Linked DNA regions of Mus musculus. The protein of the gene in region 3 interacts with the protein of the main gene of each other region in a pairwise test. Links are inferred from orthologs where the notes say so. Each region holds a gene or a part of one and is shown on either strand. Other genes may lie near its edges.

Evidence for each region.
Region 1: the proteins of Pnma1 (region 3) and Hoxb9 interact in binary tests that used the Homo sapiens proteins (3 or more experiments, as listed by UniProt). The two-hybrid records come from large-scale screens. The link is inferred for Mus musculus from reciprocal best matches to the Homo sapiens genes PNMA1 and HOXB9.
Region 2: the proteins of Pnma1 (region 3) and Mcm7 interact in binary tests that used the Homo sapiens proteins (3 or more experiments, as listed by UniProt). The two-hybrid records come from large-scale screens. The link is inferred for Mus musculus from reciprocal best matches to the Homo sapiens genes PNMA1 and MCM7.

The regions. Positions count from the first base shown.
Region 1 is NC_000077.6:96,266,950-96,276,628, reverse strand, and holds Hoxb9 (homeobox protein Hox-B9), read right to left. Parts: upstream 5,300-9,679; 5' UTR 5,088-5,299; coding exon 4,571-5,087; intron 2,006-4,570; coding exon 1,770-2,005; 3' UTR 34-1,769; downstream 1-33. UniProt on the Homo sapiens protein: Sequence-specific transcription factor which is part of a developmental regulatory system that provides cells with specific positional identities on the anterior-posterior axis.
Region 2 is NC_000071.6:138,166,585-138,176,242, forward strand, and holds the start of Mcm7 (DNA replication licensing factor MCM7), read right to left. Parts: upstream 5,300-9,658; 5' UTR 5,173-5,299; coding exon 5,142-5,172; intron 4,683-5,141; exon of another isoform or gene 4,226-4,682; intron 3,813-4,225; coding exon 3,733-3,812; intron 3,141-3,732; coding exon 2,976-3,140; intron 2,890-2,975; coding exon 2,765-2,889; intron 2,695-2,764; coding exon 2,514-2,694; intron 2,364-2,513; coding exon 2,226-2,363; intron 1,899-2,225; coding exon 1,749-1,898; intron 1,589-1,748; coding exon 1,474-1,588; intron 1,389-1,473; coding exon 1,257-1,388; intron 1,051-1,256; coding exon 967-1,050; intron 856-966; coding exon 462-855; exon of another isoform or gene 402-461; intron 183-401; coding exon 99-182; intron 1-98. Other genes in the region: Ap4m1 (AP-4 complex subunit mu-1), read left to right, coding at 5,607-5,664, 5,765-5,895, 6,203-6,309, 6,388-6,484, 8,166-8,276, 8,360-8,440, 9,328-9,390, 9,468-9,534 and 1 more. UniProt on the Homo sapiens protein: Acts as a component of the MCM2-7 complex (MCM complex) which is the replicative helicase essential for 'once per cell cycle' DNA replication initiation and elongation in eukaryotic cells.
Region 3 is NC_000078.6:84,143,242-84,153,005, reverse strand, and holds Pnma1 (paraneoplastic antigen Ma1 homolog), read left to right. Parts: upstream 1-4,516; 5' UTR 4,517-5,078; coding exon 5,079-6,140; 3' UTR 6,141-6,875; downstream 6,876-9,764. Other genes in the region: Mideas (ELM2 and SANT domain-containing protein 1), read left to right, coding at 1-171, 445-604.

The DNA.
Region 1 (9,679 bases), on a different chromosome or scaffold from region 3:
AAGTGACACAGAATAAAACGCAGGAGAGGTTTGTTTTCTAGAGTGATATGTATATTTTTTGTTCTTTTTTTCCCCTTTTTCTTCCAAAACAAACAATTAGAGCTCTAGGCCCCTTGCCCTCCCCACTCCCACCCTCAACCCTCCCTTATAAGCAACAACTGAAAATCACTGCCAAAGAAATCACAAAACACAAGCACAATGTCACCACAGCCACCGACAAAAGCAAAAAAAAATTAATAAAATAAAATTCAAAGTTCTACTGGAATGACCTCTTTGCAGTCAGGAGAAGCGGGAACAAAAGTCCACGGGTGGAAGGGATTGAGAAGCAGGGAGAGCAGAGAGGCAGAGAGGCAGAGAGGACCCCCCTCTGCACGATGGGGAGGTGCGATGTTTGCCTCTTTCCTGTGCACACTGGACTGTTTGCCAGAAGCGTATGCATGCAGCAGCAACAGGATGGATACAGCAGTGGACTTTGCAGGAGGTGAAGTCCCCACTCTGAGTCTTCTTTTGGACCTCTGGCTGGATGCCAAGGGGCTCTCTTCTTCCTGGGTCAGGAAACTGGTGAAATGGAAAGATACCCACTAGCCCTGCTTGCTGAGGCCATTGCTCCTCCCGGCCCTGACTGCCTACTCTGGAAGGGAGCTGGGGAATTGATTCACAATAAATTTTCAGACTCTTCTGACCCAGCCTTCTCTATGGTGGGGTTGACCTAGCAGAGAGGAAAGGGACTTTTTTTTTTTTCCTACAATGGGAGACTTGTCTTGCTGGTGCAAGATGGGTTTGGTGGAAAGGAGAGTTGATTTCAAAGTTGGAGGATAGAGAGGAATCTGAGACTGTGGTCAGCAAGAAAAGTTACATTCTGTCAAATGGGGATAGGAATGTATGAATGGGGAAACAGCACTGTCAGGGCTCTACAACCCACAATTTGACCTCCTTTAGTTGGAAGGAAAGGAAAACATGCAGAATTAAACACTTCCTGCAGGGAAAATACGAGGGGACTCCACTAATGGTACCTTCATAAAACCACTCCCTGCTTTTTCTTGCCCTTTCTAGCTCACAACAGCTTGGGGACAGGAATGGCCACATCTGCCCACAGGCCTCCCCAGATATGGGGTCTAGCTGGCAATTCCATAGGATACATATTGGGATGTTGAGACTTTGGGACTGCAGTGCCTCATTGAGGGCATCTCTAGACATCTTCCTAGTGTGTGTTTGGATCAGGGCACAACCAAAATGAACCTGATCTGAGAGCTGCCCTGCTTGGTTTGATGAACAACGTCTTGATGTCCTTTCTCCACGATGATTAGCATAGACTCCAAACTCTATGTCTGTGGGCATCCACTGGGCTGTGTGCAGTTAAACTGTACCTGGGTGGCGTCTGGCTAGGTTACAGGGAGGGAACAGGCAGACTGGAAGAGAGGGGCTGGGGTTTTCCAGAAAAATTAGCAGGGATGCTAGGAGCTCGACTAGGGTCTCTTTCCTCGGAGCGAGGCTCATCACTTTTCTAGGAACCAAGTATAGCTAGCTTCTAACTTAATAAAATTTCCTCTTAACACCAGGAGAGTGGAGAGAGAGAGAGAGAGAGAGAGAGAGAGAGAGAGAGAGAGAGAGAGAGGCGCAAAGGAGAGGAGACAGGCTCCAGGTGCAGATGAGGGATTTTAAAGAGGAGATACTCTTCCCCACTCACTTGGGTACAACCCAGACAGCAGTGGCTTTTTGACCATCACATAAATAATAAGAGTGAGCTGGGGAAGGGGGGGTGGTCATCTTTACTCTTTGCCCTGCTCCTTATTCATCTTCTTCATTTTCATCCGCCGGTTCTGAAACCAGATTTTGACTTGTCTCTCACTCAGATTGAGGAGTCTGGCCACTTCATGCCTGCGGTCCCTGGTGAGGTACATATTGAACAGAAACTCCTTCTCTAGCTCCAGCGTCTGGTATTTGGTGTAGGGACAGCGCTTTTTCCGGGAAGAGCGGGCGTGCAGCCAGTTGGCAGAGGGGTTGGCTGAAAGAGAAGTAGCGATAGAATCAAAGAGAGAAAGGGAATGGAGGTCCCCAGACCAAGAAGGTGCGCTCACATCTCTACTCCCCTGGCATTGGAGAAACACACCCAGGCCTCCAAGATCTCAGAAAGCATCTCTAACTGGGCCAGGAGTGAATATGGACAGCTCCAAGGGAACAGTGCATTGGAGGAGATGCAGCCAAACCACCCAAGCATCTCCAAAGCTTTGACTGCTCTAGGAATCTCAGTCTTCCTCTATTTGTATCCAAATAGACCTGGACCCAGGTCAGAAGAGCTCAGTATAGCTGGAACCACACTACCAGCTAAAGGTGGCTGACCTGAAGGGTGCCTTGGCTCTAGGTTTCAGGGGAAAGGGGAAAGAAATGGGTAAGGAGTGGAGTTCTGTTCAGCCATAGCCAAGAGATCTCCTGGTGCTCCAGTCCAGTCCCAGTGAACCCTGCCTAGGAAGCCATTTTTCAGCCCTAGGCCTAAGCAGCAGACATGTGAGTCTGGGTAGCAGCCCTCCCCATCACACACCACAAATAAGAGTCTGCATTTACAGCCATGAACACCCTGCACACTCCGACTCACAAGCAACCCAATTGCAACCATTTATCAATTGCAGCCCGTGGACGGGGAGCCCCAGGGCTTCCAGATAACTTATGGTGGCAATAGCCTCTTCTTTTCTGCTACTCAGCTCACAGTTTGGTTAACACAAGTTCAGGGAAACTGGGAAGCAAAATTGCTACAGCTCTAAGATAGAGAAGCAGAGATGAGGTGGGGGGGGCGGGGGGCGGGGGGGACGACAGAAAGCCCTTCCCAGCATACCAATCCTTTTAACGGACCCAATGGAGAGGCAGAGAAAGGTGTAATTGAGTGGAAGAGGGGCACAAAGAGCAAATAACATATACAGTTTTTTTTTCTTTTTCTGTCCAGCATCCCTCCTTAGACCTCGGGACTCAGAAAAGTTACCTGCCTCCCAAAGCAGAGCCAATTACAAGCAAGATCCACTCCACCAGCTTAGCCCCCAAGTGAAAAGCTCTGAATATCTATGTATATTTTAAAATTCACTTCATCCTACACTAAGTAGCGTGTCCTGCCAATTTGCAGCGCTATTCCCTTAATGTGATTGTCTGGGATGGGACCCGCAGCCTTTTCCTCTTTCATTAAATATGAAAGAGGAAACAAAAAAAAAAACTGTTAATAATTGAGCCTAGCCAAATGGCTGCCTTGCAATGATGGGCAACTCAGGCCTAGTCTGGGGCCATGGGGTGAGGGGTCTGTTTGGGTGTTTTCTGGAGCTTTGGGAGGAGCTGTTTTGGGGATATGAGCTCCTTAATAACTCAGCCTGGCAAGTTGGAGGTATGAGGGGACCACAAGGGTCACAGGGGAATAGTGTCTCTCCTTGCTTTTCAGAGGGCAAGCATGCCCCCAGAGGACCCATTGGCCTCTCTGTTGGTGGGGCATCCAATAGGGCGAGCAAGGACCAAACTATTTGCCCAGAGGAGGAAGAGGTGAGGAGTTGACCTGTCAGTTTGTCCCGTATTGTTTGGGACCAAGAGCGAGCCCCAAACCAGTTTGTCTTCCCCATCCTTAAAAACAAACCCCTAAAAGTAAGCCTCCTCTACTCTCAGCCAGCAGCAGTTTCCACTTGGGGTTTTATTTTAGCAAGGGTGCTTTTAGGAGTGGGAGGTGGTAAGAAACTCTCCACCAAGGGTAGAGTTCTCCGCCCCTGCGCAGTCCTCCCCCTCCCTCCCCCGGGGTCCCTTTGGGTGTCTTCTCCTCCATTCTAGAGGGAGGCCCTGTCTTTAGCAAGTGATGCCTAGACTCTCGGAGAGGTGAACTGCCCGGCCTAAGTGATCGGAAGCCCCGCGGAGATCAGCGTGCAACCGCAGGAGGAGAAACGGCCGTCCTGTCGAGGATGCCCTAGAAGGGCGGGGGACCCCCGGAGGGAAGGCTCCCGGGGAGGGGCCGGCGCACCGGGGAGGGGGCTCCGTCACCGCATCCTGGGCTTCCCCCGCCCCTCCCGGCGCCTGCTGCCGACCCGACGCGGCTACTGCGTGAGATCTGCTAGGAACAATCCTCCGCCAAGCTGTTGCATCGCAAATAAAATCCTAATGAGCCCCCTCCCCCTTCCCCTTGGCCGGCAGGGACGGTCTGCGCGTGGCGCAGGCGGCTCTGCCGAGTGCTCTTCGGCCCCGTGCCCGCGCGGGCTCCGGGCCGCGCTGGCCATCGGCCCGGCCTCCTACAGTTCTATCGCAGGTCCCTCTCCCTTTTTCCAGCCCGAGCCTGGGGAAGAATGAAGGACTAGAGAGACTTGGTCCCTGAGTCTCAGTCCCTGCGCCACAAGGAGGAGTGGGGGGTAGCCTCAGTGTCCCCCTCCTGGACACCCAGCTTTTTGCTTTGCCAGCCCCTTCCTTCCTCTTCCCTCCACCCACTCTAGCCCTGCGGCCCCAGGCGCTCTGTCCCTTTACATTGTCCGCTTTATGGCCTCTCCCCTCCCCTCCCCCGGGCCTGGCCTGCAGCCTGGGGGGGATTTCCTCACTTTTTTTTTTTTTTATAACTTACTTTGATCCGGCCTCTCTTTGTCCTCGCTTCCTTCGCAAATTTTATTGTCCCCGTAGCCAGCTCTTTGATTAGACAGGACAGCCTCCCTGCCCGCCGAAGTTTCCAAACTGTACTCGGGCGTGCCCTGTTTGAGCAGCTCCCCCGGCGCGCCCAGCAGCGGCTCCGCCTTCACGGCCGCCTGGCCCTGCCCCGGGGCGGCCTCGGCGCGCGGCGCCGGCTCTAGCCAGGTGCGGAGGTACCTGCTTTCGGCCGCCGGCGCGCCCTGGGGCTGCAGGTAGGGGTGGTAGACAGACGGCAGGCTCCCCGAGGCGTGCGGGCTCAGCGGCGCCCAGGAGGCGCCGAACACCGGCGCTTTGGGCTGGAAGCTGCACGAGGGGAAGTCCAGGTGCTCGGCGTGGCCCGGCTGCCGCGGGTTCGCGTACTGGCCCGAAGGAAACTTGGCTGGAGGCGCGTCCTCGCTCTCGTGACTTATGATCGAGTCGACATAATAGCTGCTAAGCGTCCCAGAAATGGACATTCTCAGACATTATCCGCGCGCTCGCAGGGGGAAGGGAAGCGCTCGCGCCGCGGCGCCCAAGCAGGGAAAAGGTGGCACACGGACCCGGTGCAGAGGGCTTTCGGACGCGACCCCCCCCAGACCCCCACCCTCCCACCCCCACCCCCTGCTCAACTTCTCAGCCAACAAAGTACAGTGGAGCAGCCCGGCTCGGAGCTCCTTGCAAAATGATTGGTCAAAGTTTTGCGGACTGCCTGATAAAGCGTCAGCTCCGACATAAATCAATCGGGCGAGGGGGCTGCGCTCGCGCTGTCATCCGTCCTCACCGCATTCCATATCCAGGATGGATTGTTTTATGCTGATGCAATGTGCTATCACGTCAGGGCTCCGGCGGCCACGTAACCTCAGCCTGAGCTGCCGGGCCGCCCGGGCCCCTCCCGCTTTTACAGGAAGGGGGGTTCTCAACATGGGGCGATGGGGGCGGAGGAGAGGCGGAGGCAAGCAGCGGGCTGCCTCAGGAGGGACGCAGGCTGAGGAGCCCTCTCCCCAGGCAGATTGGGGGGGGGGGGAGGACCAGCATACAGGGAGGGAGAGCGCCCCAGCCTCAGAGCTGCGGGAGAGGCCCGACAGGGTAATTAAAGAGGAGGTAGTCTTGTCGCCCCCCCCCAACACCTCCACCTCCACCCCGCGGGCCCTCATTTCCTGTCCTCTGTCCCCTTGACAGAGATGTTTATTAAACAACAGCAGTACAGCGACCCACAGGAGATGAAGTAAAAGGATGAGAAAGAAGTTGGGGCTTTTATAGGACAGTTATCCTCTTTGGAGGGGGTTCAGGGCACAATTTGGGGAGATTTACGTGACTAGGCTCTTCCCTTGATCCTTTAGCAGCTGAGAGAGGCGAAAGGGGACTAGTGTCCAAAGAATCATTATCTGTCTTGAAATTATAGCCTGCCTAAGGCCAAAGAGACACACCAGGCCCTGGAACTAGAGTTTCGGGAGACTAACCAGTCTTGTTTAACTCCTTAAAATTTTTCTTGGGCCTTTGTGAAAGGCTGGGTCCATGGTCATTTCTTGTCCTTCATCCAGGAATCTCTGAGACCCTTAAAAATGTCCAGATGAGAGGGCTAATGTGGGAAATGATTAAAGGAGAAGGGGAAGAAGACTCCCCAAACGGCACAGTAAGGAACACCGGGTTACCTTCCTTTCCATCCAAAAAGGGAAAGAGGCCAGCTAAATTCTCAGCACTCTAGCGCTTTTCACCCGGAATTGCCGCTCTGGAAAAGGTCCAAATACTGACATAGGACGGTAGCAAGTACAGAGGAGTCCCCGGCATCAGTCCGTTTCCCCCACCCGCCGCCTTCTCGCCTACAATCCTCTCGTGGAGATTACAAATAGTGCATTTTATTAGCAGCTAATCTGCGGCCCTGCGCAGGGACTCCCCCGAGGCCACGGGCTGGTTTCCTGGCGGCTCTCCCAGCTCTTGCCTCTACAGCTTCTGCCTGGGTGCAGGCGCCTCCCCCGGTGTGGTGCTCTGGGAGGCCGGGCCCCTAGACAGGCTTGGTTTCCTCGGGTTAGGTTTAAAGACAGATTTCTTGGCTATTCTCTGAGTCTGGACCGTTATTAGGCAGACTGCTCCGGGGGCCATGACTCCCTCCTTAGCCTCCCCTTCTTTTAGAAAAAGTGGAACCGTTCTAACTTGGGGGTCAATATGTTTTTAGCCAGTACCCCTACTGCCCAGTGGAAGGCTGCGGATCACCTCCGAGAGCACACACACAGTCCCGCCCGCTTGTCTTTCTAAATGAAGCCATCTCGTGTCATTACGTGTGAAATACGAGGGCGAAGCGCCATATTTCTTCACATTATGGCGATTTCAAAATGATTTTTTAAAGATCAATGCGGGCGCCCAGCCGGCCCCTTCAATTCCACCCACGCTCTTGGAGAGCGACAGCCCAGCAGATCCGGAACCAAACAGCGTGAAGATCTATTTTTTTCCCTGTAGTATCCAAATGGGGAAACAAAAATCCGATGCAAATTCTTCTAAGTAGCGGTTGGACGCTTGGAAAAGTCAAGAGAGCTTCCCGGATCTGCCAGCAAGAAGCTGGGCCTGGAGCGAATGAATCATAGTTAGGGCAGAGCACCTGTTCCTGCTTTGCTAGTCCTATGAAATCTGCCATCAGTTTTACCTGTAATAAATATAGTCTTCAGGCCAAAAAAAAAAAAATCCCCTCCCCAGCCATAAATAACAGCGTTATGAAGCATGTCGAGGTGGGTATATGATTTTCTGTAGTATATAAATTAGGGCCCAAAAGGACATGTGAACTCTGGGCCGGGGCTCTTTTATTTATGGAAACGTGATGGAGCAAGGCTGTTTTTAAGACCCAAGCTGTATAGGCGCTGGGCTCTGCCCGCTGCCCTCCTGGTTCCCATTCCTCTCCCGGGCTTTGCTGCAGATTCTTCACTGGTTTAGTTTAGAGAAAGGATCAGAGGAAGAACCTTTGGGCTCCTGGCTTGTGCCCTGTAAGAGGGAGATAATCCGTTTAAATTCATATTTGTGGGTTATAGCTGCCCAGGGAGCCGTTCTTAATCCCTCCTGGAATCACTGATGGGTGAAGAGGAGACCCAGGCCTCTTTTCTAAGTAAGAAGTAGTTTTTCTAAGTAAGAAGATGCTGGGGATTGCGGGGGGGGGGGGCACACAAAGTGGAAGAGACAGATTTGGGAAGCTTGTCTTCTCTGGAGAGGTGATTACAGAAGAGAATGAACTTTCCCCCTCATCCCTGGGGTGTATACCCCATCTCACCCCCTCCAGGGGAAGACAGCAGCAGCAGCAGCAGCAGCAGCAGCAAGGAGTCTCACCCTTGCTGCAAGCTTTCCAGAAGGGATTGCTGCCTCAAACTTGAGCTCAGCTTCAACAGAGGCAAAGGACAAAATGGTCACCAGGGTGGGTGGCCCCTTGCTGAAATGCTTGGTGATCCCTGGAACCCCTCAAATCTTTTTCCCTTCCTAGGCAATGGTACCCACCATGCCAGAACACACAGAATTGTGGCCCCTAGGACCTACAGATACTTAACAAAAGTCACATTACAGTGGGGTCACTCTGTCCAGAGAGCAAAGCTCTCTGCAAGCCACCTCCAGTCCTAGAGAGAAAGGAAACCCCACATCCCCTAAAGCCCCTTGTCATGTCTTACACTGGAGCTTTGGCTGAACACAGCTGGGGCTAGTGGCATGTAGCATGAAAACAAACAAACAAACAAACAAAAACAGGAAGGCAAAACCTCTGGACCACACTGGGGCCCAGGGCAGCCAAGAAGAGAGGCTGCTGCTGACCACAACCAGCCGGGGTAAGTGCCTGCATTTTGGGAGAGTCTTTGGTGGGAGGTGGGGTGAGGGTGTCTCTGTCAGTAAGAAGAGAAAATCTAGAGATTGAAATGGGAGTACAAGGGGGGGGGAAGAAAACTGTGAGAAAAGAGAAAATAGTTTGTTTTTAGGTGATAAGCTACAGCTGATATTGATGCCTTCTGGGTTTAAGCAGATGTATTTGACTTGCGTGTCTGTTTCAAACTAATATTTCTGTAAGGGAGTCTAGAGGTCAAATATGCTCTATTATATACCTTTATAGGATATACAATTATCTTTCCAACTGTAATACTAAATGTGTCGGGGCATAGGCATTTAAGATCTAATTGTTCATATGTGGTTATGTGAATAATGAATGCTAACAGTGATTATGTCTTGTTTTTTTAAATATAACCCCAAAGCTGGTGTGCATATATTTTTTAAAAAAACAATACACCTATAGGGAAGACAAAAACCTGGATATTAATGTCTAAATTTTGGCTATACAAAAGCTGATGTGAATCTTGCCTCCTAACTTAGTATCCAAGCAAAATTCATACTACATCTTCAAACAAATGTGTGTGACTTAAAGCTGGATTCAATTACAGTGTCCTGCTGGAACATTTTAATGGAAGATGAAACAAATACCTCCAACTGACCCAGAAAAGGTCATGAAATTTGGTGACTTTTGTTATCCAGCCATGAAATCTTTTTACTTTTTACTTCGTATCTTCCCCCAGCCGGCAGAGACAGCATGCACTATGTGACACTTATTTCATGGTATTGAAGGGGATAAGGGTGGAGATATTATTATTTGTATCTTGTACAAGTGTGAAGGGAAAGGAGCCAACTGAGTGTGTCAGTCCTCAGGTGACTGTGAAGGTTATAGCACTGTGAAGGACAAAACACTGCTGCATACAACAACCTTGTTAAAGTCCCCAGGCACTGGAGACATTTCTTCTGAGCCCCAGGTTAGACTCCAGACCTACTCTGGGATACAGTGAGGTTTGAAGATACATGTTCCATTAGACATTGGAGGCGAAAAATAAGATCCCAGAACCCACGCCCTTTGTCCAAAATAATTTCCAAACAGGTATCAAGTTCTGTACACAGGGACTCAAACCTGGGAGCTTCCACAACCCCAAGGAAGGGTCTTAATTGAAAAATAACGAAATCTTCTGTCATCCGGCATAGGATGTCAGAGGTCAGTGGCCCCATTGGACCTGAGGAATCTTCTTACCAACTCTCAGCCATCACAGATATCCAAGACAGTGGGAGG
Region 2 (9,658 bases), on a different chromosome or scaffold from region 3:
AGTCCTTTCAAGACTCAATGCTTTCCAGACACACTTGGCATAAGACAATGCCACAGACCAGTACTCTCCCCAGACATACCCATCTCCACCCCTCCTACCTCATAAGTTTCATGTCCAAAGGTTCAAATTGGGCAGGGGGCTGCCGGCTGTGCTGGTGGACATAGGTGATGTGCTGGGCCAACCTGGAGAGAAGACGGGCGTCAGTCTTTAGAGCTCTAACACCCTGAGAATCTTGACTCAGTATCCCCTTTTAGCACCACCTCTTCTCCAAAGCATGGCAGACAGGCCTCCCAGAAAACCCTCAAGATCTTAGCTCCAACCTATCTCCATATGAACTGCAAACAAGGAAAGGTGTTTAAGGTGTCTGCACACAGACAAGTTGAGTGGCTTTCTGATTTTACCTCCCTGCCCCAAAGTCACTAAAATGGGCTGTCTCTATGGGTGTCATCTACTTCATTCACCGGAGGTCATTGTCTCTGTCGGGCCGGTCTTGAATCAGCCAGAGGAGGTCGAATCGAGAAAGCAGAGCAGCCGGAAGCTGGACGTTCTGCTCCAGACTGCGGCGGGGATTATATCGGCCGTAGGCAGGATTGGCCGCAGCCAGGATGGAGCATCGGGCATTGAGCGTGGTGAGAATCCCCGCCTTGGCGATGGAGATGGTCTGCTGCTCCATAACCTCATGGATGGCTGTGCGGTCAGCCTCGGCCATCTTGTCAAACTCATCAATGCAGCACACGCCCTGGTCAGCCAGCACCAGGGCACCGCCCTCTAAAGTCAGTTCTCCACTCACAGAGTCTCTCAACACAGCTGCTGTGAGCCCTACACCAGAGGAGCCACGGCCTGTTGTGTACTGACCTGCAAAGATAAAGAGCAAACTGCTGAAGAAAGGAACCGCTTTCCCCAGGCCTTCCAGAGGCCTTAGTGTTTATCAACCAAACACCAAGCCTCATCCCTGTTCACACTCACTTCGCGGTGCCAGACGGTCGATGTAAGATAGGAGCTGAGATTTGGCCACACCAGGGTCTCCCATAAGGCAGATGTGGATGTTTCCTGGCAAATGAGAAGGAAGCCTGAGTGATACTCTTTACCCAAGTTGTCCACCAACAGAGAAGAGCACTTGAGACCTGGTCCCTTCTTAAAGTCCAGACTACTTCTAAGACACAACAACCACTAAGGTAAATCATCAACTCTTGTCATTTACAGACTCTCGTGGGATGTTTTTTTACCCTCCCTCCTAAGTCTCTTGTCCTTCTTACCTCTGATCTTCATGCCTTGAGGAGACTGGTCCACACCACCCACCAGAAGCAGCAGCAGCGCCTTCTTCACATCTTCATGTCCATAGATCTCCGGAGCAATAGAAGCGGCCAGCTTCTCATAGAAATCCTCCTCTGCAAAAAATTAAGCCATAGCATTTCCTTCAGGACAAAATCTAGGATGGAGCTCAACTCTCAACTTGAGCTCGTGGTCCCTCACCTGCAATCTGCTTCAGCTCCTCTGAGCTCAGCTCTCCGGCCCCAGAGACATCATCGTCACTCTTTGTCATCTTCACAATCCAGTGGGCTTCCAGGTAAGTTTCTGAGAGTAAGCCCTGGACACAAGAGTTCCCTTTAAAGTCCCCATCACCAGAGTCCCTGAGAATTTTTTATCCACAAGTTCCACCTCACTGATTTTCATTTTCTAAGGGTGTGAAGAGTGAGTGGGTGGATGAGGAGGCAAGGCAGCTATTTCCTCATTCAAAACGCCCTCACCTGTGCCATCTGTTGGAACCCTGTGCGCAGGACTGGCAAGAAGATGCCAGTGACGCTGACATGGTCACCAGGCTGGGCAATTCTTGTGTTCTCACCTTCTAGAACCACTGTGATGCTACGAGGGATGTTTCCCACAGGAACTTGGTCACTCTAGGAGATTGGGAGGTGTGGGGGAGGGCATGACACAGAGCACATGAGACAAGGAGAAAAGCGAGGCAGACCTGACCCAACTGACCACCACCCCAGAAGATGCCCATTTGATGGTAAGATTCAGTCATCCCAACCTAGATGACTTCAGGAAGGAAGCTGAGTTCTTCTTATCCTCCTCCCAATAGAACCAGAAAAAAACTTCAATTAAATCACCTCCCGATTTTCTGACTAAGAGCAAATATAAAAAAATTCTAGGTAAACCTCTCTCCCAATCTTTCTTCCTATAATTTCATAACCAGCTGCAGGACTCATATCCCCTAAACTCACATGCTCTTGAATCTTCATTTCCTGGAATTTAACAAATTTGGAGCCACGAGTCTGTAGGTACAGCCGCCCCCCTGAGCGATTGGTCTGGCACTCCTGGCTGGGGCACATGATCAGAGGCATGAAAGTGGGAGACTGGATCTACAAACAAGGAAAACAGGAAGTCTTACAATCACCACAGTAACCATCTCTGCTCTGTGTCTTTTAAAATAAGGATTAAGACCTCCTTGAAATATTATCAGTCAAAACGACCCGAGGTATCAAATCACCATCATAGAATTGTATACGTACTGGCTGGTAGGTCTCTGCCCCACACTGATCACAAGTGTATGTGGCCACCACCATCCTGGGCTTGACTTCAGACACACGAGTGACAATGCCACGCACAGTTAACAATTTCCCCACAGAGTCAGCTCGTACTTCCCGGATCACTCGAGGCTTGCTGCTACTTGGGCCTCGGAAATACAACTCACTAAAAGAGAAACATTTGTCAGCAAGTCCCCGGAGAGCAAGTCCCCGCCCTTTCCCACAGAGATACTCACAATCTTCGCATGAGTTCAGAAGGATACTGGTTTTGGGGGTTCCGGACTGCCCCAGGGTCTCTGCTTCGCTGCTCCATCATCAGCCGGTGTTCAATGTAAACATCTAAGACATCCTTATTCACCACCTAAAAGAAAGAAAAGGCGAGAGGCAGGACAGAGAAAGAAAACAGGGCACGAGGCAGACGAGCTCAGAAACAAACCAGCCACCTACCTCCTTCTCCTTGTACTCAGGCAAAAGCTCTTGCACAACATCACCAAACAGTCTTGAGTAGCGCTTGGCATTCTCGCAAATTGAGTCGACCAACTCAGGGTCATCTTCAGCTATGTCATCCAGGTCCACATACAGTGCCACTTGTTCCCGATGAGCCAGATGAACCTGAGGTAAAGAAGAGATGCTAACACTTTAGGGTCAAGTTCACCTCACCCACAAAAGCTCTTCTAAAGTCACTATCCTACCACTGGGGAAAGAACAGAATGCAGTACATCATGGTGGTAGATGTCTATAATCCCAGCACTTAGGATTCAGAAGGCAACAGAGTGAGGAGCTCAAAGCCAACCTCAGCTATGTAGCTACACAGCGTGTTCTTGATGGTGGTCTGAGCCACACAAAGACTACCCCTAAAAACTAAGAGCTAGGAATGGATGAGGTGGCTCAGCAGGTTAGACATAGCCATCTAGCCAGATGATCTGAATTTGCTCTCTAGAACACACATGGTGGGAGAACAGACTTCCACAAATTGTCCTTTTGACCTCTACACATGCTATGGCATGCCCCTGTGAGCACAAACACATAGGAATAAACACGACTAAAACATCTAAGAAAACCCTTAAGCTAAAAACAAAACAAAAACCCAACTTTGTATAAAAACAATCAGAATCAAGTCATTCACTGATAGCCAGACTTGAGATAACCTTATACAAGTTCTTAACACGCCACGCCACTCCCCAGAACCAATCCTGAGACTTACCAACTGGGTCCCATACTTGAACTGCTTCTTTCCAAGCTCATTCTCGTAATAAAACTCTTGGAGGAACTTCTTAACTTTTTCTACAAATATAAAATAAAAACCAAGTCTTTGCAGTGAGGTGTAAAGACCACTGCTGCCAAGGACTAGAGTTCAATCCCTAGGGCCCACCCACAGGTTGGAAGAGAACAGAGTCCTGCGGGTGTCCAGCACTATGATATGCCCGTGCGATCTCACACACACAATAATGTAACAAAATAATGTAAAAATAAATAAAATAAACAATCAACTTTCCTTTTAGATTCTTTATTTCAAACTCTTAACAGAAACCTAAGAAACCCACTTTCACTTAAGACGAAACCTATGAACTAGTTAGTTAAATGAACATTGAAAACAAATCGACCAAGTTCTCCCCAAAGTAGGCAGTGTTCCTTTTCACAAGTCCGTTTTTACACAGAGAAGAATATAGGTCTTCGGGCAGCTACAAGAGTCTTACCCAACCTTCCCAAGAGAATTCCACACTCTGTCTTAATTAGGAATCTCAGTTTCTTCAATTCTCTCAGCTCGCTCCCAATCGACTTAAGGTCCTCGGCTCTCGCTCTACCAGTACAACTCTTTTTCTTAGGCTCCCGCCAGGACGTCCGCCACTAGGCCTCCTCTGCACTCATGCCCGGCTCCCGCCACTGCTTCCGCTCTTAGTAAACAAAGAAGCACATGGGCCCAGATTCCAGCCGCCTCACAGCCCAGGATTCCTCCGCCCGAGACGGGTGGCCGAGCGGGGATTGGCCAGAACGCCAAAGGGCCATTCGGGTCCACCACACTGCCACCTTTCGCCACCGGGCGCTTAGCCTCCCAATTCTAGGCACGCCCCTACCTACTGCAGCTATCTCCGAGGCCACCGCGCGGAAGGACACTGTTTACACACGACAGTCCCAAGATCGGGTAGCGCCACTTCCGCCCGCCTCTACTTCCGCTTGGAGGGCGGCCGAAAACAACCAATCGCGGCGCGTAGCGGTCTGGCAAGCCCCGCCTCTGGACTTCGGCCAGTCTCCAGTGGACGCGGGAATTCGCTAGCGCCCCGAGCAGCAGAGGCTGGCCCAGTAACCTAGTCCCTTGGGTCACGTATTGAATGCATTGAACCAAGTCACCCGGTCTCTACCGAGCGCGCCCCTCCTTTGTGGACTCCACTGGGTTCTCTCCATAACACAAACACATCACCTTTTCCAAGGAGGATTGCTTCCTCCATCCTTGACGCCCACTGCTTATTGCAGGCGCAGTTCGCCTGTCCTCGGAGTCACAGATCCCGGCTCACTCCCCCTCCCCCGCCCGACCCCAAGACTCCAGCACCCCTCAACAGGTGCAGGTAGAAGTTTCCCTCCGAGGACGCCGCCCCCAGCCCTATAGATCTTCACCTTTTTCGATCGCGTAGTCCTTAAGCGCCATCGCTGCCGGGGACGGTGTGGCAGGACTTGAAGGGCTCAAAAATCTCTCTCTGGGGAAGCAGAAAACGAACGCGCGGCGGGACGTAGCCGGCCAACCGAAATTGGCGCGAAACGTCGTCACCCATGTGACCCGTGCGGCTGAGAACCCGCCAATCAGATAGGGGGTTCCCAACTGCTGCCAGCCCCTAACTTTAACCAATCAATGGACGAGTCTAGATTGAATGACAAGGGGCTTGAGGGCGGGCCGTTGAAAGATTGCCAGATCCTGGCGGGTTGGACACCCTGTTTCCCGCGGTTCGAAATTAATGCTCGCGAGTGTGTGTGTGGGAGGAGTGTTTCTTAAAGCGCCAGCCTCCGTGCGGCCTTTTGTTCCGCGTCCACAAGGCGGGGTGGGTTCAACTTTCACCGTGTTCTCGTCTATCCTCCAGAACCGCCATGATTTCCCAGTTCTTCATTCTGTCTTCCAAGGGGGATCCGCTCATCTATAAAGACTGTATCCTTTGACCCGGGAGACGGGGTAGGGTAGCTGGGTAGAAATCGAATCCAGATCAGTCTGTGTCGCCTGTTCCTTAACTATCTTTCCACCTGGCTAGTCCGCGGGGACAGTGGTGGTCGTGATGTGGCAGAGCTCTTCTACCGGAAGCTGACGGGACTGCCTGGAGGCGAGTCCCCGGTTGTCATGGTAACTACTGTGGTTGGTGTGCAGGGCCTTAGAACTGTGGAGGTGGGTGAGTGCCTCCTCCCTGTCAAGGGCAGCTTGGTAGGAAGCTTGGGGGCGGGGGTGTGTGTGTGGGGAGGATTTGTTTATAAATGTTTTGAGTACTAACAAGAAGCCAGTTACAGAGCCATGCACCCTATTTTTTGACTATCAACAACTTTGAGAGGTAGATACTACCTTTCCACGTTAGGCGGCCAGGTCTTAGATCTGGGGCATCGCCCATCACTAGTAGACCTCAGGGTGCCATCTTGCAGGTTTCCTTACTACAATTCTGGTCTTTTCTTAATGGCCTCTGTCCTCAACTCTGCCTCAGTATCACGGTGATCGTCATTTTATTCACATCAGACACAGTGGGCTCTATTTGGTGGCCACAACCTTAGAAAACGTCTCTCCTTTCAGCCTTCTGGAGCTGCTTTCCCGGTGAGTAGAGTTGGGACAGGCACTTAAGAAGGAGGGCGTGTGAGGTTTATTCACACATAATTTGCTGTGTTTCCTTAGGCTAGCCACTCTCTTGGGTGACTACTGTGGCTCACTCAATGAGGGAACCATCTCACGCAATGTGGCGCTTGTCTACGAACTCCTGGATGAAGTGCTGGTAAAGCCCAAAAACTTTGGTCTTTTTAAGTTTATTTATTCACGTGTGTGTGTGTGTGTGTGTGTGTATTTGCCCACATCACTGCACATGTGTGGAGATCAGGTATCTTCTACTTGTTGTAGAATCTGCTAAATCCAATATAGATCCACCATAACTCAAGCACTAGGTCAATGCAGATGACAAAAAGGTATTGTAATCAAGCCAGTACTGATCAGTCAGGGCTGTAGAACAGACTCCTGAACTTGCCTAGCAGTTAAAGGCTGACACCACAAAGTGGAGGGGAGTGGGGTGAGCTGTAGCACTGTCCAATCATATTTTGACATAAGGGGTTGAGCAAGGGAACTTTGACCAATCAGATTAGGAGTAGTTTTCTGGGCTTGAGAACACGAGCTTAGTTGATCTTGCCAGCAAGATGGAGAAGTTGTCCTTGAGGTGTCTGAACTCAAACAGCTGTTCTCTTACCAGCTGTCCCTAAGATGGCGGGACTCAGACAACTGTACAAGTTGTTCCTAAGATGTCTGGACTCAGCTGGGCAGTGGTGGCACACGCTTTTAATCCCAGCACTCGGGAGGCAGAGGCAGGTGGATTTCTGAGTTTGAGGCCAGCCTGGTCTACAAAGTGAGTTCCAGGACAGCCAGGGCTACACGGAGAAACCCTTGTCTTGGGGAAAAAAAAAAAAAGATGTCTGGACTCAGGCAACTATTTACAACAGAAGCCGTTCAGCTATTGGGAAGTCCTCAGCTCCCCCAGAGCCTGGGATCTTGAATTTAGCTTCTCCTTATGATTAAATGGAGTCTAAAAATGAAATGATTTTATTTAAAATAAGTTTCTTTTGCGTGTTCCCAACCAACATACTGTCTAGGTCCCTGGGATTGAACTAAGGTTGGCTTGCTTGATAGCAAGCACCAGCAGAGCTATCTCACAGGATGTCTGTCTGTCTCCCTGGCTCCGTTTCTCCACCTGTGTGTCCTTCTCTTTCCTGTTGGACAATATCGGGTATTGGTCCTGACCTTCTACCTTGTTCAAGACAGAGTCCTTTGCTGGTCATGGTGGTGCGTGCCTTTAATATACCAGCATCCAGAGGCAGATGGATCAGTTTGATTTTTGAGGCATTCCCAGTCGACATAGTGAGTTGGAGGCCAGCCAGGGTTACATGAGACCTTGTCTCAAAATAAAAATAGAAGCCAGCCATAGTGGTGCACCCAGGATGCTGAGGCAGGTGAATGAATCTCTTGAGTTCAAGGCCAGCCTGATCTACAGAATGAGTTAGGACAGCCAGGGCTACACAGAGAAATCCTGTCTTGAAAATAAAAATAAAAATAACAAAGAAAAAAAAAGAGAAGTGAAAGGCAAGCTCCCTTTGTTCCCCAGTGCACGTACACTAAGCTAACGAGCCTGCAAGCTTCCTGGGATTCTCCTGTCTCTATTTCTCGTCTCTGAATGGGAGCACTGGGATTATAGATGCTCATTATCATGTCCACCTTCTTATTTACTTACATTTCAGGGACTGAGCTCAGGTCCACACACTTGCTCAGCAAGCCTTTTACCCACTGAACCAGCTCCCCAGCTCCAAGGACTTCAATTTCATTCTCTTATTCCGTGCTACCATGAAGAAATGTCCTCATGGAGTGTGTGGTTGGGAGGTTGCGGCCACACCATTTCAACTCTTTCTGTCCATTAGGATTATGGCTATGTGCAGACTACATCCACAGAAATGCTGAGGAACTTCATCCAAACTGAAGCTGTGGTCAGCAAGCCCTTCAGCCTCTTTGACCTCAGCAGTGTTGGATTGGTCAGTAGCTGGGAAAGAAGAGGGGCAGGAGGGTTGGCTGTGAGCATCAAAGCTGAAGGTTTGTTGCTTTGGACGCTTTGCAGTTCGGGGCAGAGACACAGCAGAATAAAGTGGCCCCAAGCAGCGCAGCCAGCCGCCCTGTCCTGTCCAGTCGTTCTGACCAGGTAAGGGAAGGATCCGTGAGGCCAGACTTGATGAGGGTTTTTTGTTGTTGTTGTTGTCCTAGGACTCGATTATCTTTCTATTCCCTTTGATGTGTATTTCTTCCTTTACCCCTGGCCTCCCATCCCAGGACTCTGCTTCAACTCTCCTGTCCCTTCTGCTGCCTCTTTTATTTTAGGCATGAGTGTATGTGCAGAGCATGCTTTTGTGTGGAGGCTAAAGGACCAGGCCTTTGCTGTCATTCTCAGGAACGCCATCCGCCTCCTTTGAAACTAGCTTGAAGCTCATTGACTAGGCGGGTTGGCTGATCCAATGAGCCTCAGGTCTGCGTATCCTCACCTCTCTGGTGTAGGCTATAGGTTACCTATAGTACCTTGGCATTCACATGGATTTTGAGGATCAGACTCAGATCGTCATATTTATGTGACAAGCACTTTTTTTGACTGAGCCATCTCTGCAGTTCCTGTTCTTTTGGTTTTTTTGAGATAGGCTTTCCTTTGGTCCTCCAACCCAGGCTCTTACCTTGTAACCTAGGCTGGTCTTGAACTCGTGGCAGTCCTCCTGCCTCAGCTTCCCAAGTGCTGAGTTTATAGGCATGTATCACCATGCCTGACATTGCCTGTCCATTTGAAGACAGGGTTCCAGGCTGGGTGTTCGTGCTTTTCATCCTAGGACTTGGGAGGCAGAGGCAGAGAGGCAGAGGCAGGTAGATCTCTTGTGAGTGTGAGGCCAGCCTGGTCTACAAAGCAAGTCCAGGACAGTCAGGGCTCTTTACACAGAGAAACATGGTCGAAACCCTGTCTTGAAAACAAACAAACAAACAAACAACAAACAACCCAGAAAACAAAACAGATTTTCAGCTCCATAACTCAGATCCTTTCTTTCCTAGAGCCAAAAGAATGAGGTGTTTTTGGATGTGGTGGAGAGACTGTCTGTACTGATTGCATCTAATGTAAGTCTGGGCTCCCACTCCTGGACGTGAAGGGCAGTGGTACCTGGGGGAGGCTGAGCTTGACTTTCTGCCTCTAGGGCTCGTTGTTGAAGGTGGACGTCCAAGGAGAGATACGGCTCAAGAGCTTCCTTCCCAGCGGTTCTGGTGAGAACCAATGGTTAGGTGTGGCGCAGGCTTCCTTGTGATGTGCATGGTGGTATTTGCTATCCCTTTTCTCATGTCCTTCCTCCCACAGAGATATGCATTGGCTTGACAGAAGAATTTTGTG
Region 3 (9,764 bases):
CCATGAGCCCAACGCCCCGGGGTCTGCAGGTATCCAGACCTCAGAGAAGCCGAGGGAGGGGCCGGGGAAGTCCCGAAGGGCACTGCCTTTCACAGAGAAGAAGAAAAAAGCCGAGGCATTTAATAAAACCCAGAACCAGGAGAACACCTTCCCTTGTAAAAAGTGCGGCAGGTAAGAAGTCCCTTCCTTGTCTTCAGAGGAACCCATTAATGTTAGGGCAGGGACTTTGACGCTGCTGGGGGCGGGGCCCCGGATCTGCTTTTTTTGATCAGCTCAGTGGGTTTCCAGGGTAATGGCGTCATGAGGCAGGCATGATATGAAGGGGCGGGGCGGGAACTTCCCGAGTGGGCGGGGCAAGGGTAGGGGCTAGGTGGACCGGCTGGGGTTTGAGGGAGGAGAGTGGAGGGGTGACTCTCTCATCGGAGCCCTTCCTGCCCGCCGCAGGGTGTTTTACAAGGTGAAGAGCCGCAGTGCTCACATGAAGAGTCACGCAGAGCAAGAGAAGAAGGCCGCAGCTCTGAGGCTGAAGGAGAAGGAGGCTGCAGCGGCCGCCGCACATCAGCAGGCGCTGAGAGAAGAGAGCGGCGAAGGGGAGAAGGGCTGAGGACCCTGCTGGATCCTATTGCCGGGCTCCCCAGCACCCCAGTCCCTGGAACCTCTAGAAGGGGCCAGGAGAGGGTCACTTGGACTTTGCTCTGCAGAACAAACCCGATAATGAAAAATAAACCGGCTCTTTTATTTACAAAGGCCAAGGACAGTGTTAAGGGCTGCAGGATCCAGTTCTCTCAGTATCTGGTTGGTCCCGAGTTCTGCTTTCCCGGAGCCTAGAGAGGCCGGGCCACTTGGAATGGGCTAGAGCTCTACAGCTGCTTCTCTGATCTCTGCTGTTGCATCTGTGCCTCTTTCATCCCAGGTCCTTAGTAAGCCACCACGGCAAGCCAAGCACAAGCTCGCCCCATGGCAGCATTGTTCCTCCTTCCGCAGAGGACCTGGAAGGCTGTGCAGACTTTTATCTAAGCCCCCAGAGGGACTCCTTAGAGAGCGGTGGCCTTAACACCTGTGTTGTCCTTGTGCTGTCATGCTCAGGCCGGAGTTGCTCCAACAATCCCGTCTGGAGGTCCCCACTTCCTTAGGCGTATCTCGGAGGGCTATTTTCAACCCCTTTGCTGCTTGTTAACAGCCCGTCTGGGGCTGTCAAAGTTTTCTCAGAAGTTTGGAGTTCGTGCCCTGCTCTCAGCCTACTACACGGAGAGGAACTGTTCAGAGGCCAGAAGATGCAGAGCTCTGCCCGAGAGATCTTTTGACAAACTCATGACTAGCATTTTATACCTTTGAGTCCCGGAGGCTGCTAAAGGAGCCTCAAGCAGGTCCTAGAGAGGCCTGGCCTGCTCTTTGGTGCCAGCTTCCTTCTTGCCTGTCGAGTTCTCAGTAGCTGCCAGCTGATCCCACCGCACCCCACTCAATGTTGATATTCACAGTCCTCCCTCCCCCCAATACGGCATGCTGGAGTTTGCTGGATTCTTCCCTGGGAGGGTGATGTCTCCTAACTAGATTAGACAGGAGCCTTCATTCTGTGGCTTGTTGTCATTTGGGAACTATTTATTTATTTTTTTTAATATTTAAGTTTTAACATCCTCAGGGACCAGGGGCCTCTTGCTTTCCAGAGGTCCAAGTGCATTTATCCCAAAATAAGGCACCTTTTTGGCATCCCCAAGCCCTCCCCCAGTTCCATGGCCCTGGGGTCCCTTACCTTGTGGCTCTTGGCCGCAGGAATGACAGAAACTGATCGGGCTGGGAAGGCGGGGAGTGTTATCAGTCACAGGAAGCCAGCAGATGTGGGTGAGGTCAAAGGCAGGTCTCTGTCCTGCCTTTTCTGTACTTTCAAATGCTCGAGGGAGTTGGCAAGAGGCCAGAATTCTAGTTTTGGTTATCAGCCTCGATTCTGGCTTGAAGAAACCATATTTGGCTTGGAATTACTGAAGGGTTGGAATGTTCTAGAGTCCCCTTCGCTTTCCAGTTCAGTAGGGGCCTAAAGCCACTTTTCTGATATCATCACTTAATTTTAGTTGTACAAAAGAGAGTCTTAAGTGACCGTGTGTCTGACTGTTTAGAATGTTAGTAAGGAGCGGAAATAGCCTACAGCCCGTTGGGAATTGGAAATAGAGATGGGGTTTTGTTTTGAAGCTGTAGACTATTGGGTATTTCTTACATTCATTTACACATTAGTATGGTTCTATGAGAGAGCTGCGGGTGGAAATAACAAACCTGTCCCCCTAGATACCTAGACAGTTACCTTAACCTTCAGTTTCCCCGGTTTGTTTCCTTCATAGGCTTCTATCAGCTCGAAGTCCCGGGATTACAAAAATGTGGTACCCTCTAGAAGCAGGAGGGCAACAAGTTTAGGATCTCTTCTAAATCACTTCTATAACGCGTGCCTTCACAGCTCAGCCCCAAAGTGCCACTTAGGTTTCCCAAGGTTCTTTTCTATTTAAACCATATCTGGCTCAGGCCCCTTGGTGGACAGGTGATAGCAGCCACATGAGATCCTTCAGCCACATGAGACTCCTCTGCTCAGTGGTACCAACTAATCCTTAGAAATCTTAATTAAAAACAGCAAAAAAGCAAGAACTTTTCTAAGTTCACAGAGACCAGATGACTATAGCCGGGGTGGGGGTGGGGGGATAAAGATGGTACCTTTAGGTAGTGATCCCACCAGACACTGTTTTAGAGGGGCCCATGCTCCAGCGCGCCCGTGTGGAAACTGAACTAGTTCAAAGCGGAGATGCACGTGCGGCCGGAGGCTGGCGCAGGCGCGTCCTTACTGGTGCTTTCTCGTACGAACACACTGGGCTTGGCTTTTGTTGTTCTTTCTATTCAGAGCTCCCTGTTTGACAATAACGTCCCTATACAGTGTCACCCTGCCTGTCCCCCAGCTTCCACCTGCATTCAGAGAAGGCCATGACACTGACCGTGCCTGTGTTCTGGGCCATCTCTGAGGTCTCTTGCCCTCACTGCTGTCCTCCAAGCCTTCAGCAGCCCCCTTAGAGCTAAAGTACCCACCCACCCACCGTCCTTGCCGCCCCACCTCCCACCCCGGCACAGAGGCCCTGTGCTCATGATGTCTAAAGGGATTGCCTATATTTAACTGCCTCAGTCACCCAACCTCTTTCTTCTCATGTGCCAGATGTTAAAGACAGAGGAGGAAGAGTGCAATAGTACTCAAGCCTCAGCTGTTGAAATGTTTTTATTGGGGCTCACTGTTCTGGGTTATTATTTATTACTAGACTGGCAAAGCCTAACCCCTTAGGTTTTTACAGGAAGTATGCATATTTTTATATAAAAACAGTTGTGTCTAACCCACATTTGGCTGTGTTTGTTGCCTCAAAAAAAAAAAAATTGCAGCTGTTAGAACTTTTCCTCATTTGTCTCTTACGTTAAAGGCCTTGCTGGAGAGGATGGAGCACAGAACAGCCTTGACAGTCTGTAATTAGTGTACAAATATTTTAATAGCATAAAGTAAGTATATTCCTTTTATTTTGAAACAAAATGGTCAGACACTGCCTTTCATGTGTTTGTTGCCTGTGGCACTCTTTTTAAAAAAGACTGTTACATATTAAAATAGTGTACATATATATATATATATAAATATAAATATTACCTCTTTGTGTACAGTTGTGATAGACCAGACTGAAAATTTTATTTTTTGTGTGCTTTTTATAAAAAAAAAATTAATACACTAAAGAGAATCTTGCTGTGATTGTAATGTACCTATGTAACTTATTTACTTTTGAATGTTCTGTATCTTAAGACCTTTTATTAAATAAGGTTTTAAAAAAAATTCATTGTTGAATACCACATTCTTATAGGGGTGTTTTTGCCGTCTGGGACTGATAGGCCTTGTTTTGCTTGAAGAGAACTTACCCGCCTTTTCGGGGCCATAAACATTCTGTTTTGCTATCTTGTATACTCAGTAAGGATAAGAAGGCAATATGTTTGCAGTTTGCCTGGCTACAAAGGTAAGTAGTCACGGGGTTTTGTGTACACACACACACACACACACACACACACACACACACACACTTTAAACAAGAAAGCCAAGTCAGACACTCACAGGAACCAGTAGATGGAATTCTCTTTCCTAGTTTTGTGGGGAGGAACCAAGTAGTTGCAGAGTGGGATCAGGTGGTTCCCGGAAGTCAGAGTTAAAGACTGAATTCATAGAATGGATGAGCAATATGAGATAAGTCCGTCGTGGTAGATGCGTATCAATAAAGCCAGCTTAAATCCACGGCAAAATTAAATAAAGCATGCGTAGCAATAGCTAAGAAAGAATCAGGGAAGGCGGGGGGGGGGGTGTAAAAAGAAATGCGCCGTCATAGAATAGACTCCTCAAACCCCTTCTTGGCACCATAGCAACCGCCAGATCCTCTGGAGCCCGCGTATCTCGCGTCGTCATGGACACAGTTGTCACGGTGACACTGGGGGAGACAAGCGGACCGGTTCCGCCCTCCACTGCAGCTGCACGCCGGCCGTTGCGGGAGCGCGCGGACATAAGCGCTAGGCAGAGCTGCCTCCAGCCGAGTTTCTCCCCCATCCCGTGCTTCCTGCCGCTTGGGTTCCCGGTGCTCGGAGTGCCGCCTCTCCCCACGTAGCCAAGCCACGGCCTCGCGTGACCCTCAGCCCGCCGGCGTGCCGGGGAGAGGTGGGAGGAGCTGCCACGCCCCGCGACCGCACCCAGCCATCTCCCGCCCGGAGTCATCAGTCTTGAGCCCACCTTGCTCCCTCTCTTTAAGCGGTGACGCCAGACACAGCTGCAGCCAGTTCAGCCCTCCCTGCCCGGACCAAAGGGGGCGACATTCGAGTGATAGGCGGAGTGTCCCGTGGCTCCCGACCCTGACTTGGGACCCGGAAGGGACAAGAAGGAACTCTGGTGTCTTTTGGTAATTGTGGTTGCCTGAAGCTTGTCGCCCCCTGGCCTACCGGGGGAGGAGAGCATGTTGTATTGTCCTAGGCCCTATAGCCTCGTGAGCCAGTCCAAGCAGTGTCTGTAGAACTGGCACTTTTAATAGTTGGGTGAAATGGCTATGACACTATTGGAAGACTGGTGCAGGGGAATGGATGTGAACTCTCAGAGAGCTCTGTTGGTCTGGGGGATCCCTGTGAACTGTGATGAGACCGAAATTGAAGAGACCCTCCAAGCTGCGATGCCCCAGGTATCCTATCGAGTGCTGGGGAGAATGTTCTGGAGGGAAGAAAATGCTAAAGCAGCCTTGTTAGAGCTCACTGGGGCAGTGGATTACTCCCTGATACCCAGGGAGATGCCAGGCAAAGGAGGGCTCTGGAAAGTGGTGTTTAAACCCCCCACTTCCGACGCAGTTTTTTTGGAAAGGCTGCACCTCTTTCTAGCTAGGGAAGGGTGGACCGTGCAAGATGTTGCTCGTGTGCTTGGGTTTCAGAACCCTGCTCCAGCTCCAGGCCCGGAAATGCCAGCAGAGATGCTCAACTATATTTTGGATAATGTTATTCAACCTCTTGTTGAGTCCATATGGTATAAGAAGCTGACGTTATTCTCCGGGAAGGACATTCCCGGGCCTGGCGAGGAAACCTTTGATTCCTGGCTGGAGCACTCAAATGAAATCATAGAGGAATGGCAGGTGTCGGATATAGAAAAGAGACGGCGGTTGATGGAGAGTTTGAGAGGCCCCGCTGCTGACGTCATCCGCATCCTCAAGACCAACAACGCCGCCATAACGACCGCAGAATGCCTGAAGGCTCTTGAGCAGGTCTTTGGGAGTGTGGAGAGCTCTAGAGATGCACAGGTCAGATTTCTGAACACTTACCAGAACCCAGGAGAAAAGTTATCTTCGTATGTTATCCGTCTGGAGCCTCTGCTGCAAAAGGTAGTAGACAAGGGGGTCATTGATAAAGATAACGTGAACCAGGCTCGCTTGGAGCAGGTCATCGCTGGGGCTAACCACAGTGGGGCCCTCCGAAGGCAGTTGTGGCTGGCCGGGGCTGAGGAAGGGCCTGCACCCAACCTCTTCCAGTTACTGGTGCAGATTCGAGAGGAGGAAGCCAAGAAGGAGGAGGAGGAGGCCGAGGCCGCCCTCTTGCAGCTAGGCCTGGAGGGGCACTTCTGAGTCCTAGGACTGGCCAGGCTGCTTTTGATATACCTGTGACGTTTTAGTAAGCCTGCCACTCAAAGCAAGCACCCAGCCTCCTCCTGGCTTGGTTTTGTTTCCTGAGGGATGGGATGGGGAAGTCAGGCCCGCATATTCCTGTAACATTCACAGAAGTGTGTGATTGTCAGGAGCTGCAACGGTAAAGGTGGTCCTTACTGCCTAAAGTGAATGCTTGATGCCAGCCCTCCTGGCGACATCTCTGACAGCTGTGCACAAACGTGAAGCTGTGACACTTCCTGTCAAGGTGGTTGCGAAGCTGCAGGTTCTGATGCTAACCGCGCACCAGGTTCACAGACTGTACAGTACAAACTCTTGTGTTTGTTACTAACACTGTGGATGGTTTTACTGTAAATTGTTCCCAATTTGTATCGATGGAAAGAATGTGATTCTATTAGAAGATATTACTCATCTTGAAAAATGCGGATTTCTAATTCCTCACGGCTCAACGCTGGAATCAGTTTCCCTGAAAAGGATCCTCGGACTAAAAGTGGCATGTTAGAAAAAACCAGGCCTTTACCGAGCTGCACAATCAGTTCCTCACGGTGGAAGACAGAAGTCCTAGGGGGAGTGGCCGTGGCCAGTCTACACTTCCCCCACTTCAAAGACTAGTCATTTAATAATTGGTCAGCGCTAAGGGTTCTAAGTTTGAAGTTATTGAATAGATGTATACAAATAAAAATTTGAAAATTCTCATTTTTCCTGACACGTATAAAATTTTTCAGTTAATTTAGCTCCGTATATTTTTCTCCTAACAAGGACTTTTGTTCATGTAAAACAAAACAAAACAAAACAAAAATTACCCTCCTTGCTATGAATTTAAGTTGCAGTGTCACCTATACATCTTGGTTGGGTGGTTCCTTGGTTGTTTTGTCACAGTCCCACTCTGTAGCTGAGGCTGGCCTGAAATTCACTCTGTAGCCCAGGCTGACCTCAAACTTGCAGCGGTCCTGGGATTACAGGTTTGAGCCACTACCCCTAGCTATTTCTTGTAGATACTGTCTCACTGTGTAGCATGGGCTACTGCTCTTGAACCTGTGATCCTTCTGCCTACCTCTTGGGGGCTGAGATTCTAGGCAGACACTACTACATCTACCTTTCAGTGAGTTCAATTTCCACATGACTTCCTCAAGGCAAGAGATAACAACCAAAGAGAGATGTTTCTATGAAATCTGATAAAAAAAATTGAATTGGGGCTTAGGTTAGCTAGCAACCTTTCTGTTTTAAAGTCATTGTGTGACTGACAGTGTTTCGGCACAGAAACAATGATCTAGTCCACTTTGTGTGCAAAGTGTTTGTCTCCCAATAGCCATTTTATAAGTTTCAGTGACTGCAGATGCCCACCTCTGAGCTCCCGGGTCAATCTGGAAATGCCCTGAAATTTTCTTTTAGGGTCTGAGACTAGAGCTGGGGTAATAGGCACTGTCAATCTCTGAGGTTTTGCTTCATGGATGCACCAGTGTGAATGGGGCAGGGCAGAGAATGGGGCGGGGCAGGGTGGGGGTGGGGGACAGGACTCTGCCATTCTGCCATTTGTTAATTGTGACTGTTAGCTGGTGGATGCTAATATTCTTATGTGTTGGTCCAGATTTTTCTTTTTAAAATATTGTGTGTATGTATGTTGGTGTATATGTTATGGTATGAATATGGAGGTCAAAGGACAACTTGCAGGAACCCATTTTCTCCTTCTACCACGTAGGTCCCTCAACGTAAGATTTGACTTCCTACACTTTTATACAAGCTCGAATTCCGCTATCCTGAGCTAACCAACCACTCTCACTTAGATATATGTTCTTAAAAACAAGGATGGAGTCTGCATCTTTTATGTTGTCGGCATCCTTGGCTTCACATAGGAACATAGTACTTGCTTTGATTGTGGGCAAAGACATGTGGAGGACACGGGACAACTTGTAGGCATCAGCTCTGTCCTTCCACCAAGTAGTTCTGGGGGGGATCAAGCTCAGGTTGGCAGCTTACGGTGACAGCCTTTACATGCCAAGACACCTCACCAGCCCACCCTGTCCTGCCAATGCCACCTCACCTCGGTGGTTGCTAGATTGCTTTCTTCAGTAGCAATGAGTGAAGCTAAGATCACACGCATGCAGGTCGAGCACTTTACCACTGTACGGCAGGCCTGCCCCTTGTTCTGGTTTGTTGTTTTAGAAGTCTCACATTGTACAAAGGAAGCTGTCCTGCAACTTGCTATGTAGCTGAGGTTGGTTTTGAACTTATAATCTCCTGCCTCATGTTCCCCAGGGCTGGTATTATATAGGCTTGTGCCACCATGTTTAGAATACTTTCTTTATATAGCTGATTGATTGCATCCCATGAGGAAAAGTATTTTACTATTTAATTAAATGTAAGGCCCATACATTCATATGGAATACGAAACATGTGAGCATTCCCCTTTTCCAGTCTCTTTGAGTTGAGTTTCCTCTGTAGCCTAGGCTATTCTTGAACTTGCCTAGCCTCCTGCCTCAGTCTCCTGAGATGCTGACACACATCCTTTGAGCAAGAAAACTGAATTAAAAGTAACTGATTTGATTTGTTTTCTTTCTATAAGCTCAAAAAATTTTAAATTCTGATTTTTTTTTTAGAAAGGTATATTCAAAGACCAGTGAGATCATAGAAACTGCATGGCGGTTTTATTCTGTAACTAAAGTACATTTTGACTGACAGCACAGACTGTACACTGGCAAATGTATGGTGCTCCTGATCCTGTGGGGTTACCCTGTTTCTCAGGGGTCTCTCGGCTAACCTTTACTAGGGATGATCATGGGCAGGCAAGCTTGCTGACCGTGGGAATCCTCTTTCCAGTGGACACATAATGGTGGGTGAGTTAGAAAGTCAGCAAAGGACATGCTCACCAGTGCTAAGTGAGGAAGAAATTAGCAGAGACTGATTCAGCTGTGTGCTGTGCACACCTTTAATCCAAGCACTTGGGAGGCAGAGGCAGAGGCAGAGGCAGAGGCAGAGGCAGGCAGATCTCTGTGTTTGTGAACAGCCTTGTCTACAGAGTGAGTTCTACGACAACTAGGGCTACACCTGAGACCTCGCCTCAGTCAGTCAGTCAGTCAGTCAGTCAGTCAGTCAGTCAGTCAGTCAGTCAGTCAATCAATCAATCAATCAATCAATCATCAATCAATACGAGTTAAGGGTCTTTGCACCCTGGTTGCTCTCCCTTTCTCTCCTCCCTGGCCCTCTCACCACATGCATGGATTCTACTATTCAAAAGCTGAATTGCTTTAGAAATCAAATATCATGAAAGTTACTCTAATATTAACTAGAATACAGTAACCAAAGGACTTCTTTTTTTTTATAAAATAACATGATTTATTACTATTTTAAAACAAGTTTCACAAAATAACATTCAGAAACTCAATATTACTAAATAATTTAATGCACAATAAGTTTAGTCATAAAGTCATGCTACAAAAGTCCTGTGTAGAAAAGATTATTACCAAAGCATTAACAGATGTTAAAACGTTCTTCAGAATGAACATGGATCTAGAAGTCAAAGCTTTGCGAATGATGCTCCTGGCCATGAACGACAACCTGAGAGAAGCAGGTGGACTGGGTACCTTC